Linked DNA regions of Arabidopsis thaliana. The protein of the gene in region 3 purifies or fractionates together with the protein of the main gene of each other region. This does not show direct contact. Each region holds a gene or a part of one and is shown on either strand. Other genes may lie near its edges.

The links.
Region 1: the proteins of ARP4 (region 3) and SWI3C purify together in Arabidopsis thaliana (affinity purification with mass spectrometry; 2 studies listed by BioGRID, with this or other methods). This does not show direct contact.
Region 2: the proteins of ARP4 (region 3) and AT3G49830 purify together in Arabidopsis thaliana (affinity purification with mass spectrometry; 2 studies listed by BioGRID, with this or other methods). This does not show direct contact.
Region 4: the proteins of ARP4 (region 3) and SWI3A purify together in Arabidopsis thaliana (affinity purification with mass spectrometry; 2 studies listed by BioGRID, with this or other methods). This does not show direct contact.

The regions. Positions count from the first base shown.
Region 1 is NC_003070.9:7,619,495-7,626,069, forward strand, and holds SWI3C (SWITCH/sucrose nonfermenting 3C), read right to left. Parts: upstream 4,673-6,575; 5' UTR 4,485-4,672; coding exon 4,469-4,484; intron 4,331-4,468; coding exon 3,800-4,330; intron 3,274-3,799; coding exon 2,735-3,273; intron 2,579-2,734; coding exon 2,221-2,578; intron 2,129-2,220; coding exon 2,055-2,128; intron 1,860-2,054; coding exon 1,774-1,859; intron 1,679-1,773; coding exon 1,611-1,678; intron 1,510-1,610; coding exon 1,334-1,509; intron 1,238-1,333; coding exon 662-1,237; 3' UTR 507-661; downstream 1-506. Other genes in the region: AT1G21695 (hydroxyproline-rich glycoprotein family protein), read left to right, coding at 1-291; OGG1 (8-oxoguanine-DNA glycosylase 1), read left to right, coding at 4,945-5,588, 5,806-6,016, 6,133-6,375. UniProt on the Arabidopsis thaliana protein: Component of a multiprotein complex equivalent of the SWI/SNF complex, an ATP-dependent chromatin-remodeling complex, which is required for the positive and negative regulation of gene expression of a large number of genes.
Region 2 is NC_003074.8:18,480,517-18,484,501, reverse strand, and holds AT3G49830 (P-loop containing nucleoside triphosphate hydrolases superfamily protein), read right to left. Parts: upstream 2,254-3,985; 5' UTR 2,120-2,253; coding exon 1,368-2,119; intron 1,232-1,367; coding exon 562-1,231; 3' UTR 522-561; downstream 1-521. Other genes in the region: AT3G49820 (uncharacterized protein), read right to left, coding at 2,780-3,265.
Region 3 is NC_003070.9:6,346,197-6,352,554, forward strand, and holds ARP4 (actin-related protein 4), read left to right. Parts: upstream 1-1,851; 5' UTR 1,852-2,002; coding exon 2,003-2,015; intron 2,016-2,104; coding exon 2,105-2,196; intron 2,197-2,311; coding exon 2,312-2,476; intron 2,477-2,553; coding exon 2,554-2,627; intron 2,628-2,702; coding exon 2,703-2,783; intron 2,784-2,873; coding exon 2,874-2,934; intron 2,935-3,071; coding exon 3,072-3,121; intron 3,122-3,263; coding exon 3,264-3,318; intron 3,319-3,523; coding exon 3,524-3,601; intron 3,602-3,678; coding exon 3,679-3,732; intron 3,733-3,806; coding exon 3,807-3,860; intron 3,861-3,929; coding exon 3,930-3,990; intron 3,991-4,145; coding exon 4,146-4,197; intron 4,198-4,545; coding exon 4,546-4,612; intron 4,613-4,737; coding exon 4,738-4,800; intron 4,801-4,884; coding exon 4,885-4,947; intron 4,948-5,043; coding exon 5,044-5,106; intron 5,107-5,201; coding exon 5,202-5,266; intron 5,267-5,354; coding exon 5,355-5,423; intron 5,424-5,524; and 3 more. Other genes in the region: AT1G18440 (Peptidyl-tRNA hydrolase family protein), read left to right, coding at 1-136, 207-291, 513-580, 694-744, 830-903, 1,083-1,141, 1,225-1,301, 1,377-1,490. UniProt on the Arabidopsis thaliana protein: Involved in several developmental processes including organization of plant organs, flowering time, anther development, flower senescence and fertility, probably by regulating the chromatin structure.
Region 4 is NC_003071.7:19,529,998-19,534,971, forward strand, and holds SWI3A (SWITCH/sucrose nonfermenting 3A), read left to right. Parts: upstream 1-1,949; 5' UTR 1,950-2,036; coding exon 2,037-2,094; intron 2,095-2,249; coding exon 2,250-2,770; intron 2,771-2,865; coding exon 2,866-3,312; intron 3,313-3,472; coding exon 3,473-3,612; coding exon of another isoform or gene 3,613-3,670; exon of another isoform or gene 3,671-3,697; coding exon 3,698-3,747; intron 3,748-3,833; coding exon 3,834-3,979; intron 3,980-4,077; coding exon 4,078-4,254; 3' UTR 4,255-4,474; downstream 4,475-4,974. Other genes in the region: AT2G47610 (Ribosomal protein L7Ae/L30e/S12e/Gadd45 family protein), read left to right, coding at 184-228, 348-549, 708-1,006, 1,088-1,180, 1,273-1,404; AT2G47630 (alpha/beta-Hydrolases superfamily protein), read left to right, coding at 4,640-4,669, 4,812-4,908. UniProt on the Arabidopsis thaliana protein: Component of a multiprotein complex equivalent of the SWI/SNF complex, an ATP-dependent chromatin-remodeling complex, which is required for the positive and negative regulation of gene expression of a large number of genes.

The DNA.
Region 1 (6,575 bases), 1.3 Mb from region 3:
CCCAAGTCATTATTTGGGTTGAAAAAGAGTAAGAGCGGCGATTTAAAAAAGACCGGTCAGCAGGAACCATCATCAACAACATCGGAGTCTGACAATTTCTATGAATCGGGAACAACGCTTTCTCCGTCGGAAGAAGATTCTAGCCAGGGATCGCCGGTATCTTCGAGGTGGAGTTCGCCGAAATCGTCCTTCTCTTCTCGCCGTGGTTCGCCGCTAAAACGGACTGATTCGGATTTAAGCTCTTATGAGAAAAAAACCATGTTAATGATAGCTCGTTCCCGCCTTGGTTAAATGGTTAGGCTTAAAAAAAAAAAAACATCTTAGAGATTAATCAAATAAAAATGATTTTGAGTTTTTCATTGCGACAAGAACGAATATGTTACATGTAGATTTGTAATGAAATTGTCTATATATTATCGTCAAAATGAATCGAGTTAAAAGACCCCTAATGTTTGAAGAGTAGAGAAATGGTTGTGGGAAAGAGAGACATTAAGATTGGTGACTGTTTTAATTCACAATGATGATGATGATGGTTTGATACTACAAGACACTAACTTGGAACAAGACTACGGTCTCAAAGCCAAATAACTTATCTTTAAAAATAACAAGGTGAAATAAATATGGATACTGATAAGCTAAATAAGCTAGAGAAAGATGGATCTTAGTTTAAGCCTAAGCCGGACCCTGAGCCTGAACCTGTGGAAGACCTAACCATCGGGTGACTAAACGAAGGCTGGTTGATCGATGCTGCTCCAGCTGCTGCAGGGTTATTTAGTTGGTTGTTGCCAAACATGACGTTTGGTGAAGCTGTTGATCCTGCATTGGTCTGTATTGCATTGAGAGGTAATCTCGGGCCAAACGAGAAAGCTTGCTGTTGTTGTTGTTGTTGTTGTTGTTGTTGTTGTTGTTGTCGTGCCATGAAATGCATCTGTGCTTGAACTTGCGGGTTGTTGCTGAATCCTGGGATTATGCTTGGTTGAGAAGTTGCGGAAGCTTGTTGTTGCTGATGTTGCTGATGCATGAGAGAATTGATGTTGTTACCACCTGTGGATAGAGACATGCCTTGGAGATTATTAGTCTGTGGAGAGATTCCTCCAGGAGATCCAAATCTTGCTGAGAGCATACGAGCCCGTTCTGCAGAAAATCTCTGACGGGTTTTCTCTACTTGTTCGCATTCTTTCATCAACAGTGTTTCAATTTCTGCGAACTGCTTTAATTTCAGCTCCATCCTCTTCAGCTGCGGTTTTTACTCAGATCAGCAATAAACACTATACAACAAAATAAATCAACTACCTACAGTAATTCTCATCAGCAACTGGTTCTGCTATTTTACCTGGTGATTAACGATATTAGCAGAAAGTCTCTGGATTTCGCGTTCCTCATGATCAGCAAACAATTTTGCTTTTGTTGCTGCAGCTGATAGACCGGCTCTAAATGCTGCCATAACCTTATCCTGTGGCAGTGGAGTCTGCGCTTCTGCTCCGTTTTGGCTTGATGTTTTGTGTGCTCCTGAGTTTTTTTTACAATTAAAGCATGTTGGTGTCGCAGATTAGGTTAAAACAAAAGAGCAAAGAATCACTGTAAAGAGAACAATCAAATAACTTCCTTACCATCTTGCTGTTGATTTTCTCCATCAAGCAAGCTGGCTTCTTTCCCTTGCATTCCCTCAGATTTCATCCTAGATCAAGAAGTTTCAGAATAGTCCATAGTATTATTAAACTGAATCACACTACAGAGAATTTATATTGGATAGAGACTATATAATACACTAACCTATCGTCCTCAGATAAAACCGAGAGGGATTCATGGGCACAGGACGCAGCAACTCGAGGTCCAACAGCTGATGCCAAAAATGCAACCTAAAATATTTTGGTATCAGGATCCTCATATCTCCAAACTTATGTGCAATACAGGACCATTCTCCACTCAAAATATGCATACAATTGAGCTCTCAGATATAATCGATTCATGGATCAGAGATATCTCTAACTGGTGAGATCATAAGGATAATAAGAAGCGCATATGAAATCTGCATCGGAAAAAAGTTCACAAACCAATGCCATAACCGGATTCGGAGACTTCACAAATGGAAGCTTGATCTCAGTGTCAGAACCTTGCTCGGAATATCCTGCAGACGCAAGCGGACAATTAGTATGGCATGTCAAAGGAAATAACTATGGAAAGTAATTCATTGCTACAAATTGAATAAAACAAAATCACCAGGTAAATCCCCATTTGAATCTGTTCCTTTGTGGTCATATCCATTTGTAGGGTTTTCCGTATTAGTTACACCAGAAACCTCAACATTATCTAATAGACCATCCTCCACAGGTAATCGAAGAAAATGAAGAATGCATTGAGCTTTTGACTTGGAACCAACATGATCAGCAATTTGAACCCAATTTTCATTGTAGAGTTCCACAGCTTCAAGAAGCAAGAGAGTTTCCTGATCAGTCCAATTGTCTCCATCTTGATCGCCATAAAATTTCATTGGATCCACTCTTACAAAGTCAAGACAAGAATGTCCAACAACAAATCTTCCATGGTGAAAACAATCACAGCATAAGAGTATATCCCCCTGTAAAGTAGAGATGAAGATCCTTTAGTTAGAAGCGGTCCAGTATCCGAGACAGTAAGCAAGATAAAGCTTGGAGTCTATTACATCACTGGGTGCAAAAAAGAATCAGATAATGATACACAAAGAACAGTACGTAAGGGGAAGCAGCCTAAGAACCTTCTTTTGCGATTGGAAGTACACAGTTGGAAGCGGTCGAGAACAATGGTTGCAATGACTATCACATAGGTGTTCACGAATTCTGATGTCCAAGTCAGGGCTGTCACCATCCAAACTTGGCAAGGATGAATAGACTTCACCCCCCTTGTGTCTACAGTTGGGCTTGTCAAATTTGATCAAACTATCAATAGATGTTAAAGCAGCAGACGGCACATTGACCTCGCCATTTGTGTCCTCCCTCACATCCGATACATCTCTCAAAGGGCCAGGATGTGACTGGGCAGTGGCACAGTAATTGATTATTCCCCAGTGATCAAGAAAACGGAAAACTCGTGCAAAATCTTCAATGTCAACACCATCTACCAATCCTTGGCAATCAGAAATCGTCAGTGTCTTTTCAGGGTTCTCTACATATTTGGAAACAATGGCGTTCCTGAATTCCATATAACTTTCGGGTGTATGATTTGGCGATTTCCCAGAGAAAAACTGTGGCACCACTTGCCTTTCAAGTCGATCTACTGTGTTTGGTGCAAACCAATCTGCTCAAATGTAACAGCAAAAGTAGAAGAATAAATTCGAGCATTGGGAACAAAAATATCAGAAAATAAAAATAAAATAAGAGGAGAATCTCGATATATTTGAGCCATAGGACTCCAGGAACAAAACCCAAACGAATTAGAAGAACATCACTTGCATAGTCTATTCAAGTTGTACTTCTGAGATAAGACACCTAAGGCTACTTCAAGCCAGCAGGTACTCTAATTTATCATGTACAAAAGTTATAATACCTCTTCCTTTCCATCAGACAGAACATGGGAACATAGAGAAACATCTGATATGAAATTGAGTCGCGTTCAGATTAATGTAAACTAAGAACCAGGCACTAGACAAAAGGAAGATAAGAACTTATACGTTAAGGAGATACCGGCATACAAACCTGTTTTGACTAATTCTCATTCCAATCACAAGATATATACTACAATACTACCAACCAGCAAAAGCTGATGCTGCATAAAGCCTAACCTCTAACATAAATGCGCGTATCAAGAGGAAGAAAAAACACACCTGAATGCATAGGCAAGACATGAACCAGATCCCCAAACCGTTTAACAACTCCTTCTCCATCCATAATAGGTGGTGGAGAGATAACATAAGCCGAAGACGATCCATCACTCCTCTCAAGATCAAGAGAATCAGCAGGTACAGTAGATAACGCTTGCAATTGCCCAAACGAAATGTTCTCCAGAGCTGGAAGTGAACCTTGCCCTCTAGTCTCCCCTATCAAACCAGCTCTCTCAGCCGCCACAACAGCCATTACAGACGCGTGTGGCCGGATCACAACACGCTTAACCACTGCCGGGAAATCAGAGATGCGCGAACCAGAATCTTCAACTACCTCGCCAATACCAAGTCCCGGATCGGGAGTTGCGCCGCCGTTTTGCTGAAGCTCATCGGCATTTTCAACGTCATCCATTTCTTCGTTGTTGTTGTTGTTATTCTCTTCGTCTTCTTCCTCCATATCTTCCTCCTCTTGTTTCGGTTTCCTCGCCGCCGATAACCCCCCTCTCTTCTTCCTTTTCCATTTCCCTCTTCTATCTGCGACAGAATTGTAAAAAGTGTAATTCAATTCACACGAATTCTCGAAATACCCATCACTACGATCTATGTGGGTAAGTCAAATCCCAATTTAAATTTGGATTTTGAGAGAGATAAAGATGTGAAACAGCAATTTACCTTCAGAAGCTGGCATTTTTGTGGATGAAGATAGAGAAATAGAGGTTTTGGGTTCTGTGGAATCGAAGCAAGACCCTTAGTAAAAAGAATTGCTTTCTTTGTCTTCTCTCCTCCGAGTCGTTCTGATTTCCAGCTCTCGAGCTAAACACCAAACCTTTTTCTCGCAATTTCTTTCACCATTTCCTTCATTAATCTCTATATATTAATTCATTCTCCACGACGACCTAACCTTCTCGACAAACAAGAGGGTTCTGATTTCGAAATTCAAGCTTCGTTGACCAATCCAAATTTTGGTTTAACTTCGGTTAAAGTCAACTTTACTTCGGTTTTATTTTTCAATTTTGAATGAGAAAAACCGAATCAATTATTTAGTTCGGTTCTTAAAGTTCAAATTGGTTAAACCGGTTTAAATTGATACATTAGTCGACCGTCGCGCATTAATACTGGTGTGGTGGTTCCGTTAACGAGCAACGGCGATGAAGAGACCTCGACCTACATCTCAGCCGTCGATCTCTTCCACCGTCAAACCACCACTGTCTCCGCCGGTCACACCGATTCTCAAACAGAAGCTACACAGAACAGGAACACCTAAATGGTTCCCGTTAAAACTAACCCACACGGAGCTGACGTTGCCGTTAACTTTTCCGACGGGTCAAACATTCCGGTGGAAGAAAACTGGAGCGATTCAGTATAGCGGAACGATTGGGCCTCACTTAGTCTCTCTTAGACAACGTCCAGGAGACGACGCAGTTTCCTACTGCGTCCATTGTAGCACAAGCCCTAAATCCGCGGAGCTTGCGTTGCTCGATTTTCTCAATGCTGAGATCTCGTTAGCTGAGCTATGGTCTGATTTCTCGAAAAAAGATCCTCGTTTCGGAGAGCTAGCGAGACATCTCCGTGGCGCTCGTGTGTTGAGGCAGGATCCGCTCGAGTGCTTGATACAGTTTTTGTGCTCATCGAACAATAACATTGCGAGGATTACGAAGATGGTGGATTTTGTTTCGTCTTTAGGGTTACATTTGGGTGACATTGATGGATTTGAGTTTCATCAGTTCCCATCATTGGATCGATTATCTAGGGTTTCTGAGGAAGAGTTTAGAAAGGCTGGTTTTGGTTACAGGTGATTTCATCACTCTCTAATGGTTGCATTATGTTGAATTAGACATTTAGGCTAAAACTTTGCTTGAAGCTTATACTTTTATTTACTCTGTGGCTATACATTCATAGAATTGAAGCTAATGTTTGGTCTAAGCTAGATAATCATTGTGTGGCCGTTTCTCTGATTGGTTCTGATCTCATTTGAAAACTCTCATTCTGGTTTATCTTGTGGTGAGCAGAGCCAAATACATAACAGGTACAGTGAATGCTTTGCAAGCAAAGCCAGGTGGTGGTAATGAATGGCTTCTTTCTCTGCGCAAAGTCGAACTCCAAGAGGCAGTTGCTGCGCTGTGTACATTACCTGGTGTTGGTCCGAAGGTAGCAGCTTGCATAGCTCTGTTTTCTCTTGATCAGCATAGTGCTATTCCGGTTGACACACATGTCTGGCAGGTAACAAAGTCCATCGGTTTCTATGTATTGTACTTACTTAATTGAGATCCAATTACATAATGGTGATGATGACTTCGGGCAACTTTTTTTTTGTTCTGTTTTGGATAATGGATCAGATCGCAACAAATTATCTACTGCCAGACCTTGCTGGTGCAAAACTGACACCTAAACTCCATGGCCGAGTTGCAGAAGCCTTTGTGAGTAAATATGGTGAATATGCTGGTTGGGCTCAAACATTGCTTTTCATTGCCGAGTTACCTGCACAAAAAACTCTCTTGCAATCGTTTTCCCAGCCCATTAACAAACTGGATGAGTCTGCAGAAGTTAATGAAACTAGCTGTGATACGTTGAAGCCATGACTATGTGTCTACCTAAGCTACGAGGAATCGTTTTCACAACCCATTCTTGATGCGTCAAGTCCAGAAACTTGACCTTGGAAGAGCTAAGAAAATTCTGAAGCTGATGCAGTATTTGGCTCCCTGGCAAATGAGCGTAGTTATTTGTTATGATCATTGTTTACTAAGGAACCAATCTTGATATGTACTTGTAACTTTACATT
Region 2 (3,985 bases), on a different chromosome or scaffold from region 3:
AAGCAGTCACATAAATAAAAGAGACAAAATTAAGCCATGTCATCATCATATCTGCATACACCAAAAAAAAACATATTTAAGCTTTGTGACACATTCATTCATCATCAAACAGTAGCAGCAATAACCTTGGCAACAAAACATGTTGAAGGAACTGTAAGCACATGACCAAACCACTCAACTTCTCCCCAAATTTCACAACTTTCTTGTTTTTCAAGAGCAATCTCCGCGCACCAAATCTTATTCTTATAGCCGTTGTTACTACAAGGAGATTGTTCGACCCACAAAACCGCCATCTTTCCACCATAATCAGCCAATTGAATACAAACATTAGGTGAGAACTTAGGTAGCCTTACCAATTAACCCTTCAAACGTCTCCACAATCTTACCTTTTTGTCATACCATCTTATCGCTCCGTCAAAAACACAGTACAAAACGTTGTCTATCTCTCAATGAGAACTCGAAAACTTGAAAAATTCCATCTTTTGTTCAACCATGTCCCATGAGTCCATGACAAAATGGGGTGAAAAAATAAGTTCTTGAAAAAGCAATAAAACAAAATTCTCAAACTTCCATGGCCTCGTGTTCTGTTTCTTCTCCTGCAGTAGCCTCCTGTGTGTTTTTTATAGGCACGCTAAACAAGTACTCGCTCTCATGCTCAACCAAGTACTGCATCGATCTCTTGGTGTCTAAAAACAATCTATAAACTCTCTCAATGTCCTGAATCTCTACGACTTTCCCTTTACGTTTCAGGCAAGCTAGGGCAGCTGCATTGATTAGATGAATCGCGTACCTAAGCGAGGTATTACATCCGATCAAAGTCAGAAGCTGTTTCGCTTCCTCGTTCATCTCCACATCCTCTTCTTGGCAACGGATCTCTAAAATATTTCTGATCTCGTCTTGTGTGTAAGGCTGTGTTGTGATAATAAGAAGACGGTCAAGAAAATCGATTGGGATCCCATGTGCTGATATCTGGTTTGTTCCTCGGATTGTTGTCATTCCTCTGTTTGTAGCCACGACCAGGATTGGTGACATATCGTTTTCGAGAGCTCTATTCAGGAAAGAGAAGCATTCGATATCAAGCATATGGACTTCATCAATGAAGAGAACACCAGGTACTATTTCAGCTTTCCCTTCTTCTCTCCACTCTGCCACTTTAGTATCGCTTTGCTCTCGGGTTTCTGAACGAATCTCGCCTGTATCACCTGTGAAGAGGGCTAGATACCCTTGAGTCCTGCAAACAACAGAAAGAAAACAAGAATCCAAATAAGAACTTGAAAAAGCATCAATACGTGAAAAAGAAGCAATCTTTTTAACCTAAACCTAAAACTAAGCAATTGACAAATACAGAACAAGATCAAGAAACAAACCTGCTATTAATAACATCAATCTCATGAAGTGTGACAGAATGCAAAACCTCCTTCCTCTTCTCAAGCTCACCTTCAGGGCACTGCACAAACTTAGTCTTTGAACCCATAACATCAAAATCTCTAGACCTCGTAAAAGATCTTCCAAGCTTAGTAATCTTCCCACAAAACCTATCCAAAACAATAACATCACCACTCTGTACTTTCTCCTTATCCAATGGCTCAATCAATTTCCATCCCAAATCAAAATTAGATTCCATATCAGTCGTCTTCATTGTTATCTTCCCAGTCTTCTTCACAGAACCACCAGAAGAAGCAGGTCTATCAATCGAAATCGTCACAACTTCTCCTTCTATCACGTCAGTCTCTTCTTTGATCCTAACACCAATAGCTTTACGAAAAGCTTGAGTTAAAGCTTCAGTCTTTGACATCTCTAAAGAAAAGATCTCACTTCCTGCAATCATAGTGAATGGTGTTTCTTGTCCAAGTGATTTTGCTATACCCATTGCTATTGCGATTTTACCCGTTCCGGGTTGACCCGCTATAAGTATAGCCCGACCCGAGATTTTGCCGTCTCTGATCAACTCGAGGGTTACTCCGGCGGCTTTACGTGCTTTGATTTGACCAACCATTCCTTCGGATACGGCTCGTGGCTCGAGTACTGAGTCGAGACCTAAACCTCGTATGTGTGAGTGTGCTCCGATTCTTTCGATCCTAGTTAAGTCTCGAGTTTCTGATAACCTTAGTTCTGCCATCGTCGGTTGTTGAGTTCACCCGAGGAATGAGACTTGGCTTTTACTAGGTTTAGACTTTGGAGAATCAATCACCAGAGTCTTTCTTCTTCGTAAAGGTTTAGCTTTATTTATATTAAAAAATTACAAGATTTTGTTTGATATATATTCTTGTTAATTTACTTATGAGGAAGTTTACATTTATATATATATATATATATATATATATATAAATAAAAAGATAGTTTTTTTGTTTTGTTTTGGAATCTGTAAAGATATTGCAGACAAAAATAAAATTGAGAAACTTTTTTTCTTACAGCAAAAATAGTAATTGATAAACTTTCTAAATTATTATTTTTTGTGCTTGTGGTTTTGAATTTGTATTTTATGTTTGTAATTTTGTGAAGTTATTGTGGTTAAAAGAAATTAATTTTTGTTGTAATTTGTTTTTAGAAATTACTCATGATATTAAAATCATGTAGAACTGCATTGGTTGTTAACAAAACAATGTGAATTATTTGCATCACCACTTTTAGAATCGTATGTAATTTTTTTTAACATCAATTATAAGTAATACAAGAAATAATATTAAATGATACAAAATGATTTTTCTTTTCAAGTGTTTGATCCATATTTCTCAATAAGCACAATGCAACAACCTAATAATAAACCTAAAAATCAAAATCAAAATCGTCCTAGAGGCTTATGTTTTTGGTCAACAGATGGTTTTTCTATTTCTTTTGTAAGAATCTCGCAATTACCATAATCAAGAAAAGAGTCTTCTTCTTGAAACTCATCATCATCATCACAAGACATCTCCTCATCTATTCTTCCCATCACAACAACGCATCTATTGTTCTTCCGATGATCCAAGGACAATGATTGTCTCATTGCAATCGTAGGTTGTCCGCCACGTGTCAGACAGCCTTGATCATGTGCCGCCGACGTCAAGGTAAAGCTTCGAGGAAGGGCGGTGCTAGGCGGATCGCAGATTTGGAAGTTTCCGGAGAGTTGACCAAAACCAGATGATCCACCACCGGAATAAATTCCGGCGCCGGAGCATGACGTAATGCTTCGTATGTAGGCGTCACGTGCCATGATCAACAGACGAAAAGGAGCCTTAACCAACCATACGAAGCAGTTCTCTTTCTCTATGACTTTCGCTTTCATTATTGGATTCTCAAGAGTATCGAAATCAAAGTTGTATATATGTAAATATATAACCTTTTAAATATATTATAAGAGACGAAGAAGAAGAAATGCTCAAAGATTTCAAGACACTAAGACAGGATCAAAGAGAAGACAAATCCATGATGACTGTTGTAAATGATAATAACAAAATTATGAATGTGATCTATTCTTAAATGTACCTAGTTGGATGATTAAATACATTTCTTTCAGTTAGATGTTTAAATTTATTAAGGTGTTGTTGCCTTGTTGGCAAATCAGTCTTAACTTATTTCATATAATATGGACACCAATTTAAATCTGGATATTTGAGATGGGTTAGTTAGTAGTTAAAAGGGTATAATGGCTTGGTTCAACTACTTTCTTCAAAGCATGACGCTTGGTATGATAGTTCGGCCCATATATTAAATTTGATCCAATGTATAGACCCAATAGATTAGCACTCTTGTTTGCATCACTACATTACTCTAACCCACTATCGAATACTACAAAACTTTAACTGATTATTGAATCCTATCGTTTGGGATTAATTTGGTTCCAAAGAAATTCATGTGAGGAGATCACAAATAAATTGTTATCGAGATTTGGCCATTACTCTAACTTATCTAGAGCGACAAATATAATTTATAACTGGAGGTACACTATTTAGATCCTAGATTGTAGGTTTCGAAAATCTTGGGCGTTACAAGCAAAAACTCTTGG
Region 3 (6,358 bases):
ATTCTCCTCTCAACCGGAATCAGAGTTACTTCAAGCTTTACCTTCTTCGAAGCCAAAATCTCCGCCACTGCAGCTGCCATGGCTCATTGTTGGTTTGGGTAATCCCGGCAAGAAGTACCAGGGCACGCGCCACAACGTATGTCTCTCTCTTGCTTTCTCACTTTGCATTTTCCTTTTCAGCTCGGTAACGTGATCATGAATTGCAGGTTGGTTTTGAGATGGTGGACGCTTTGGCTGATGCAGAAGGCATCTCCATGAACACTGTTAACTTCAAGGCCTTGTTTGGGAAAGGTTCTCTTTTTCATTCTCTTATCTTCTCCATTGTGAATTTTCATTTTGAAATGGTTTTCTTATCTCAAAGTTTGAAACTTTCAAATTTCATACGTCTCAAATGTTTGATGAGGGTGATAGAAACAATGGCTAACTGTTTCCGGAGAATGAATATTGAAATAAATATCATTTTCTGTCTCTGGTTTGTTTCTAACTTTGGGTATTGTTTTCCTTTATCATAGGCGTTATTGGAAATATACCGATTATGCTGGCTAAACCACAAACTTTCATGAACCTAAGTGGTGAGTCTGTAAGTGAGCTCATCGGAAACAAACTTTGGTTTATTTAGTTAACCAATCTCTTTAACTTTTATCACTTGTTATTTTGATTCTTTCTGTTTATGATTGCTGGAATTCTTTGAAGGTTGGACAAATCGTTTCATTTTACAAGATCCCGTTAAAGCAAGTACTTGTGGTATACTTAACCTTCTCTCTCGCTTACTCTCCAAATTCTGGCTCTAGAGTGCATATGCCGTCTTAATTTTTTTTGTCTTTTTCAGGTTTACGATGATTTAGATTTGCCCTTTGGTAAACTACGTTTATTGCCAAAAGGTGGTCACGGAGGCCACAATGGGTACAATGCTTTTCACTCTCTATCTGGCCTGTTGATGTTTTCATTTGTGTTTTAACTTTTAAGTATTGTCTTACTTTTTACTTAAGAAGCAATGTGGATGGATAATAGTTTGCGGTTTCACTATCAAATCATAGAGAAACTCTACAAGAAAACATGATGGGTTGTTCTTTTACTTGCAGGATGAGAAGTATTATAGACCGCCTCAAAGGTAGCCGTGATTTTCCTCGACTAAGAATAGGTACAGTTCTCATTTTTCTCCACTCCGACATATCTTCCCATTTTCTTCTCTGGTTTTGCAAATTGTCGAATGTTTCATTTCAGGGATCGGACGTCCTCCAGGGAAGATGGATACAGCCAATTTTGTTCTCCGCCAGTTCAATAGACAGGAACAGGAAGAGGTAGAAGCAGATTTATCCCATAATTATCTCAAAAAATTTCAGAAAGACATAACCTGATTGTTTTTGGTTTTGCAGTTGGATCACACATTCCAAACCGGGTTAGAGGCAATAAGGATTCTTTTGCTTGAGGGGTTCAACAAAAGTGCAACATTTGTCAACACTCGAAAATCTATGGAGCAACTCAGTTAGAAGTGACATTGTTACATTACATATATTCATATAACAAACTACAAAGTGTTCTTGCTGATTCATTAATAATTTTTTTTTGGTTCCATACTTGAATCCTTTTTGAGCAAATTGTACATCAAAAGATAACCAGATTATTTGTTTATCATAATTTCTATTATGTAACTCGAAAATATGGATTTCAGTATTTGTTCGGCTGTAATTTAAATTATACACTTTCATTAAGCATAGACATTTTATTTGGCAATAAATCAGCTTCGTTTACTGCAAAAAGGGTGGTCACAAAAGTTGGTTCGGTTTAGAAAAATTGTGTTCGGTTCGGTTAGTTTCTTGAATAATTTAAACCCGACGGATTAAATGAGAGGTTTTGTGGTCCCCACAACTCGAACTCAGTAAAACCAAGTCGACCCGATTCAGCTGGATCCGAGATTACAGAGAACCCCGTCCCGTGTTTAAACCCTCCGGCGACAAAGCTCAGATAGAGAACCGCTCCACCCTTGTCGTTCGCTGCAGCCATGTACGGCGGAGGTGGGTTTCTCTTTAAACCCTTGAATTGCTTTGTCGTTTATCTTTTGAGACATTCCTGAGCTGTTTTTTTCCGTGGTGGGTTTTCACAGATGAAGTGTCAGCTATTGTGGTTGACTTGGGTTCGCACACTTGCAAGGCTGGTTACGCCGGTGAAGATGCTCCCAAGGCCGTTTTCCCTTCCGTAAGTCTTAATTACCAGCATTTTATGTCACTATAAGCTTAATGGTGTTATTGTAGATTTGCTCAAGTCCCTTGTATCTTCAGACTCTTAGTTTTTTTTTTGATGTGTTCATAAGGTTATTGGGGCAGTAGATGGTGTAGAGGCAATGGATGTGGATGTTGATTCTACAAAGACTAATTCGAACTCTGAGGATTCGAAGACCGAGTCTGAAAAGGAAAAGAGCAAACGCAAGCTCTATGTAGGATCTCAAGCCATGAGCTACCGCAGAGATCATATGGAGGTTAGTTTTTCTCCTTGATTAATGTTAAAGTTTATAACTTTGTTGGTGAAATTACAGATTGCATTTTCTCTCACCAGGTTTTGTCACCTATAAAAGATGGCATCGTTTCTGACTGGGATTTGGTGGACAATATATGGGAACATGCTTTCAAGTAAATGTGTAAAGCATTATATTTTCTCTTAATTGTTGTTTGCATTTCATCTCTAAAAAAACTTTGTCTTTTAAGGAGTTGTCTGATGATTGATCCTACGGAGCATCCAATGCTGCTAGCTGAGCCTCCTTTAAACACTCAACAGCAGAGAGAGAAGTATGATTTATCTGCTTTGAAATATCCTTTATTACCACTGTTGCTTTATCTTGGTGTGTTACTGATTTTCTCAAATCATATGCTTGACAGGGCGGCAGAGCTAATGTTTGAAAAGTACAAAGTTCCGGCACTGTTTATGGCTAAGAACCCTGTATATTCCCTCTCCCTTGGGTCATCATTCTTTTTGATAGATTATTATATGACGTTCACTGTAATGTTGATATCCAGTCAGCTCTTGTGTAATCAGATGTCTAACTATCTACATGAATTTGGTGTTTTTGGTGCTAGGTTCTCACGTCTTTTGCTACTGGGCGTGCTACTTCTTTGGTTGTTGACTGGTAAGACTTTAAGTATTAAAAGTTTCTCTAGTATGTAGAAGCTACTAATGTTCCACTTCTGCTCTATATGCTGTGAAAGTCTACCTTGTTCTGTATGGTGTATAATTTGAGAAGCACTGATGACACTTTATTGTATTTCTAGCGGTGGAGGATCCACAACCATTTCACCGGTGCATGATGGTTATGTTCTTCAGAAGGTACTTGTATTACACGATTTAGTAAGAATTCAGCTTTGTGATGCTGTTTCTTTGGGTTTGGATTTTGTACTGCAGGAGAAAGTTTCCCATCTCTCGTTTCCATAGTCATCTGTAGCTGCTATAAATTCTCATCCATGTGAATTATGACCTACAGCATTGATGTAGATTGTGATTCTCCGATTGTTGACCATACTTTTATTCGCAGGCTGTTGTATCGTCTCCACTTGGAGGGGAATTTCTCACTGACTGCCTACTGAAAAGCTTGGAGAGTAAAGGAATTAAAGTAGGTTAAAAAAATTCTTCACTGTTCTTTTCTTTTAAGCCAAATTATCTGAGTGATACTGGTTATTTTTTCTGCAGATAAGACCTAGATACTCTTTCAAGAGGAAGGAAGTACGAGCAGGGGAATTCCAGGTGCATATGTGGATCAGTGAATGAAACTACTAGCAGTGAATAGTCTCTAATTTCCTCCCTTTGAATCCTTGCAGGTTGAAGATGTGGATATTCCTGACACCACGGAAAGCTACAAACTCTTCTGCCAGGTCTGTAATTGATTATGAAACTTCGTTTGAAAATTTCAGTTGTGATAATTTGGTGATTTGTTTCAACAGAGGATGATAGTGGGTGATATCAAGGATTCCATTTGTCGAGTTCCTGATACTCCCTATGACGGTACCTTATGTTATTCTGTCTGTCTCTGGTTTCATAAATTTGTTTTATTTCAAAGTTTAAAGTTGCTTGAGAGTTGAACGTTAGATACTTTTTATCTTTCAATGTCATTTGATCGCATAGCCTTAGTTTTTCTGATGTGATGCATTTATCTGCAGATAAATCATATTCAAACATCCCTACTACGTCGTACGAGCTTCCTGATGGCCAGTAAGCTCAGTTTATATGTCTATTTCGGTTTATTTGTGCCTCAAATGTACATGCTACTGTTGCTTTTGTTTTCTACGTATAAGGTTTGAGCTTAGTTTCTAGCCAAATGTACCACTGCTCTGAACCTTGTTTAAGCTGAGATAAGTGCTTAGTTGGATCTGAGTCATTAAAGCCATTGGGCATAAAAGTTTAGAAGAGTCAGACATTGCTTTGGAAACCTGCATGGAACCTAATGTTCATAATGAGAATTAAGTTAAAAGAAAAAGTGCTAGCTTCATTGAAGACAGGAAGCTGCACCTGTAATTTTTGTAGTCTTTCTCAATATCTTATTAACCATGTCTGTTGAAGGACGCTCGAGATTGGTGCTGATAGGTTCAAAGTTCCTGATGTGATGTTCAACCCGTCCATAGTCCAGGTACACCATTTGAGCACGATAAATTCAACAGAAGATTCTGAAGACATTTTGTTTCTTATCTTGAGCGTTTTGAGCCTCGAATTATTTATCAAAGGTTTCTTCTCCGTTTTTATTGCAATTTGCAGACGATTCCTGGAATGGAGAAGTATGCTGAGATGATTCCTTCCGTTCGTGGGTTACCACACATGGTATATGCATGGTATTTAGTCATTGCAAAGCTTCCATCTCTTAACTTTTTCTAACTTTACTCTCCATTTTACTGACTTGTACAGGTCATGGAGAGCATCAACAAATGTGATGTAGACATCCGGAGAGAGTTGTATAGTAGCATACTGGTAAAATAGCAATCAATGCCAACTCTTAAATACCCCTACTTTTAGTTTCGTTGGATGTGGATGATTAACATTTCCTTTCTTCTCGCATTATGCCAGCTTGCTGGTGGCACATCGTCAATGCAACAGCTGAAAGAACGTCTCGAAAAGGACTTGATCGAAGTATTGTGTCCTAAACTCTTTTCCTCTGTCTTTAAAGCTATCCCAGTTTTTATGATGGCGAAAATCATTCATTGGTCCCTCTATCTTTGTTTCAGGAGTCTCCTCACTCAGCTAGAGTTAAAGTGTTGGCAAGCGGTAACACAACAGAAAGAAGATTCAGGTCTGGATTTAGTGTTCACTTCTTCCTCTATAATGAGACCCAAATTTTTTTGCTTGGATCAACCAACAAACATGTTATGTATGTGCAGTGTATGGATAGGAGGGAGTATATTGGCATCACTAGGCTCATTTCAACAGATGTGGTTCTCCAAGTCTGAGTAAGTCTCTGTTCTGATTTTCCATTAATCAGACTCGCAAAGAAACTATAGTTTGTTTTCTCTCCTGACACTCGGATTTGGGGTCTTGGTGTAAATGGCAGGTATGAGGAACATGGAGCTTCCTACATTCAGAGAAAATGCCCTTAAAGCAGGCAGTTTCAGATTATGTGGAGTCTGACAAGACGAAACTTGGAAACTAATGTGTTATTTTCATTGTGCATCGTTGTTCCTTGAAGATTATTAGTATTCCGCCTGAACCTTTTAGAATGAGTGTCATTAACAAGCATTATAGTGCTATTTTAAAAACATAAAAACATGTGGAAGAAGTTTCGTTGCTTTATTAGATTTTCGCACAATCAAGACCGTCCACGTTTTGTTACTACGAACCAAGATAATCCACAAAATTAACAAGAAAATAACAAATCCGAAACTACAAAAAGCAGCTTCATAAGTTTTCTTTTTCTTTTTTAAAAAAGAAGAAAAAATCAGCTTTATCGTGCCTCTCAAAAAGCTAATGACTTCGAAGTTCCAAAATTCCGGTCTTCGAACATATTTTATAGAATAGCAAAATGTTTTGAACCACAAGATTATTAATAATATAAATAATGTAATTGATATTGGTAAGTAATAATACTTTTATTAATCATAAAATGGTCTGAATAATAATAAAGACAAAATGGACGTAACTTCTCCGCCACTACAGACTTACGTGTCATGTCTCCATATCCGCATGCAAAATCCAATAGATGACACATTCTAAATCATCCAATTATATACGCCCACGTGTCAACCTCTGTCTCGTCTCTCTAAATAACGTTTACCGACCTTCTCTTGTGGACGGTAAGAATCGCCGGCGTCCCCTAATATATCGGATTTCAATCCAAAGACACACTCACAATTTAAAAAAAAACGTTTCTTTTCTCTTCGATTCCCGA
Region 4 (4,974 bases), on a different chromosome or scaffold from region 3:
ACATGGGTTTCGATTTCCTCTCGGTGGTAACACCATCATTGCTTATCTGCTTTGGATTTAGCTTTTGATAGATTTGGTAGTTGATATAGCTTATGAATCCATCTAGAAATTTGCGTAGAGAGCAATGTCACAAATGTTCTGTGGTTACTTTATCAATCTAATCACGCCACGATTTGGTTTTAGGCCCCGAAGAAAGGAGTGAAGGTAGCTGCTAAGAAGAAGACCGCGGTATGTTTCATTTCCAATTCTCTTCTTCTTTTTTAGGTTTTCGAACATTCAATTTGTTCTTTGTTGTTGTTTTTTTCTTTCTTGCTGAAGTTTTGTGTTTTGATTTCTGATTTCTCCAGGAGAAAGTTTCAAACCCTCTATTCGAGAGGAGGCCTAAGCAATTCGGTATTGGTGGAGCTTTACCTCCTAAGAAGGATCTCTCTCGCTACATCAAATGGCCCAAATCCATCCGTCTTCAAAGGCAAAAGAGGATCCTGAAGCAGAGGTTGAAGGTCCCTCCAGCTCTTAACCAATTCACCAAGACTCTTGACAAGAATCTTGGTATGTCTATTTCATTCTCAATCTACTCTTCAAACATTTACTACTTGCTGCTGTTAATTTATTATTGAAATATTTACCAGTTCTGGTAAATCTTGTGTTGCTGTAACCTTATAAGAAGACTTCGGTGCCTTATTTATATTCGTTATTGATAATTGCAGCTACCAGCCTCTTCAAGGTCCTTCTGAAGTACAGGCCAGAAGACAAAGCTGCCAAGAAGGAGCGTCTTGTAAAGAAGGCCCAAGCTGAAGCTGAGGGAAAGCCTTCTGAGTCTAAGAAGCCCATTGTAGTCAAATACGGCCTCAACCATGTGACCTACCTCATTGAGCAGAACAAGGCCCAACTTGTTGTTATTGCTCATGATGTCGACCCAATTGAGTTGGTTGTCTGGTTGCCTGCTCTGTGCAGGAAGATGGAAGTCCCGTACTGCATTGTCAAGGGCAAATCTCGTCTTGGAGCGGTATGTGTTGTGGGTGATTTCTCTCTAGTTTATAGCCACTAGCATGGAGAGTTAATCTTTATTTCTTTCTCTGACTTTCAGGTTGTTCACCAGAAGACTGCTTCTTGCTTGTGTTTGACCACTGTCAAGAACGAGGACAAGCTAGAGTTCAGCAAAATCCTGGAAGCTATCAAGGTAAATACTTCTTGTGACCAATAGAATGGTAGATTGTGTGAAACATATTGTTGGAGATTCTTATGATTGTGTTTTTGGGTTTTTGTCTATAGGCCAACTTCAATGACAAGTACGAGGAGTACAGGAAGAAATGGGGAGGAGGCATAATGGGATCTAAGTCTCAGGCAAAGACCAAGGCAAAGGAAAGAGTTATTGCAAAGGAGGCTGCCCAAAGGATGAATTAAGAGGCTAGCTTCTTTTGTTTGTGGTTTGCTCGGATTCGTAAAACTTAATAGAGCTTTTTGTTTAGCTGGTTCTTGAAGTACCTCTTTTTTAGTTGAACCCTTTATTATGGATGTTTTGCAATTTCTTGGGACAGTTTCAATGTTATTCAAGCTGCTGGATCCTCTTTGGTCTCTCAACCACTTAAAACTTGACAGTGTGAAATTTTAGCCAAATGCTTATTGCATTCTGGAAAGAGTTATAAGTTTAATTCTCAAATTCTTTTACAGTTCATCTCATAATGATGTGCGTAATTTTTGGTCTTTATGGTTCGATGTTGGAGCAACCATATCCCTAACAACTAGAGTTATATAAGTTCATTAAAATTTGTAGCTGAAGACCAAAAAGTTAATAGTAATAAGTGGGCTTGACGAAATAAAGTTAACAACAAGTGGGCTGATAACTAGATAACAAAGTGGGCTGATAAAATAAAGATTGGGCCCAGATTTTAAATTGAGTTTTATTATAATTGACCCAGCTTCGGGCAAGTTTTCGCTTTTGACCCTTAACTAATTATTCTCCGTGTGGTTTGGATTTGGCGATTGGCAATAGATTCATCAGAGGTTTTTGATATTGGAGGGAATCGGTAACGGGCATGGAAGCCACTGATCCAAGCGCAGAGATCGAGCTCTACACCATTCCTGCTCAATCCAGTATGTCTTCTCTTACCCTCGCCATGCTTTTAGATCTCTAGGGTTTCTTCTTCTACTCTTTTTACTCGCTCAACTGTTTCCGTCTCTTAGGTTTCTGCTTTCTATGGTTTGTTTTCTTTGCAATTGATTTGGGGATTTGTCTTGTTCTTTACAAGGTTGGTTCTTATGGGATGATATACACGAAATTGAAAGACGCGAGTTTGCGGAGTTCTTCACTGAGAGCTCAATCACTAGAACCCCCAAAGTTTACAAGGAGTACCGAGATTTCATTATCAATAAGTTTAGAGAGGACACTTGTCGGAGACTCACCTTCACCAGTGTCCGCAAGTTTCTTGTTGGCGATGTCAATTTGCTCCAGAAAGTTTTTCTCTTCCTCGAAAAATGGGGATTGATCAATTTTAGCTCTTCCCTGAAGAAAAATGACCATCTATTGTCCGTGGATAATGCTAAAATAGAACAAGGGACTCCTGCTGGAATTCGAGTTACTGCAACCCCTAATTCTCTTAGGCCTATAACCGCACCGCCCCTTGTTGAGGAAAGAGTTGAGACTGGCATCAAAGTACCACCGCTTACCTCTTATTCAGATGTTTTCAGTGATTTGAAGAAGCCGGATCATGTATTGGTTTGTGCGCATTGTGGAGAACGTTGCGATTCTCCTTTCTATCAACATAACAAGGTAGTTTTTTTTTGCTTTTTTTCGATTAGCATATTTCATACTCTCTAGTCTGTTTTGTTTATGCTTCTTTTTTTTTTGACATATGATGTTGGCAGGGTATAGTCAACATATGCGAAAAGTGTTTCAAGAATGGAAACTATGGGGAGAACAACACTGCAGATGATTTTAAGTTGATTGGGAATTCAGCTGCAGCTGTGTGGACAGAGGAAGAGATCCTCCTCTTGCTAGAATCTGTGCTGAAACATGGAGATGATTGGGAACTCATTTCACAAAGTGTTTCTACCAAGAGTAGACTAGATTGCATTTCTAAACTCATTGAGCTCCCGTTTGGAGAGTTTCTGATGGGTTCTGCTTCTGGAAGACTCAATCCCTCTATCCTCACCGAGGATGAAAACACGGAACAGGTGCAAACTGATGGGCAGGAACATGAGGAAACAGAGACAAGGGAAGAAAAAGAAGATCGCGTGAATGAAGATGAGCCTCCAGCAAAAAGGAAACGTGTTGCACTGATATCAGAGGGTGATAGTTCACTTATGAAACAGGTGAATGTTTGGTTAAACTATATGCCTTGTGTTCATTATTTTCCATATGAGTGTAACATTCGGGTTCTTCTCTGACCTTTAACCGTCGCAAAGAATGCCCTTTTTAACTCCACTGGAAAAGAATGTTCAAGAGATAACATGTTTACATATTGCACAACAGGTCGCTGCCATGGCAAGTAAAGTTGGTCCATCTGTCGCAACTGCTGCTGCAAAAGCTGCACTTGCAGCTCTTTGTGATGAAGCCTCATGTCCAAAAGAGATTTTTGACACTGATGACTACAGCAATTTCACAGTTGATAGGTTCGATTCTCTAAGCCCTCAATTTGCTTGTGGTTTGGCTTCTCATGTCCTACACTAATCTCAAGATACAAAACTTTGCTCACAGAGCCAATGGAGAGAAAGATACAGATATGGAGGAACAGCAAGAAGAGAAAGGTAAATTGTGTTGTGATTCAATCTGCATTCCTAGGTTTATAATGAAAGCTCAAGGCTTAAGATTTGGAATCGTTATATATTTGCAGACGGGCCTCAGGGTCTACCTGTAGCGTTAAGGATAAGAGCGTCTGTGGCAACAGCTCTAGGAGCTGCGGCTGCACAAGCGAAAATACTGGCTGATCAAGAAGAAAGAGAAATGGAACAGTTAGCTGCGACAGTAATAGAACAACAGGTTGGTTGTAACTTGTAACAACATTAAAACATTTGTGTCTGTTCCACTGTGTTTGTGTCTTGAACCGGACATGTTTTGCTTCTCTTTGTTGTACTCAGCTGAAGAAACTGCAGAGCAAGTTGAAGTTTCTAGACGACTTGGAATCGATAATGGATGAAGAAGAGAAAGTGATAGAGGGTGTAAAGGAAACAATCATCCAAGAGAGGGTTAGCGTTTTGCAATGCGCGTTTAGAAGCGGTATTACCAAACGTTGGGATCATACGTACGTGAAATGATCTTCTTCTTTCATTCGTACTTTTTTTTTCTCTTGGGGTAGAGTTGTTTTCTCATTCCTTATGGATTTGTTATGTTGACTTTTGAGGATTATATGTATTTAGTATTAATGTGTTTTATTGACTTAATGAGGAGAGTAGGTTTAGGTTACATACCTCTTTTGTCGATATGTCTGACCAATGGATGGGTCTCTCTACTAATTCACACGCGCCCAGTGTGACGTCAAATAAATAAAATTCCGAAAACATTTTCTGAGCTTTCCATAATTTGGAAAAAAGTGAATTGAAAAAAAGAACAGTGACACTCTTGTTTCTATAAATTGGTGAGACCGTCCTCAAAACCCCTTCGTCACCTTCAGTGTCTCTCTCTCAAGATCTAGCTCCGGTCATGAAGTCGTCGGAATTCCAATACCACGAGGTTCTCTCTCTCTCTCCCTCTCTCTGCTTAGAGATTTTAGATGTAGTAGTAATAGTTTAACAGGAGAGTGAAGATGTCAAGAGGTGTTGAGATGATTGATTAGATCTTTGAATAAACAAATATGTGTATGAATTGGTGACAGGAATACGTGAGAAATTCAAGAGGTGTAGAGTTGTTCGCATGTAGATGGATCCCATCTTCTTCGTCTTCTCCCAAAGCTCTGGTTTTCCTCTGCCATGGTTGCAGTTATTTCCTTATTATTTCTAAAAGCCGCTTTCTTCATTACACATAATAAAACTGAACAA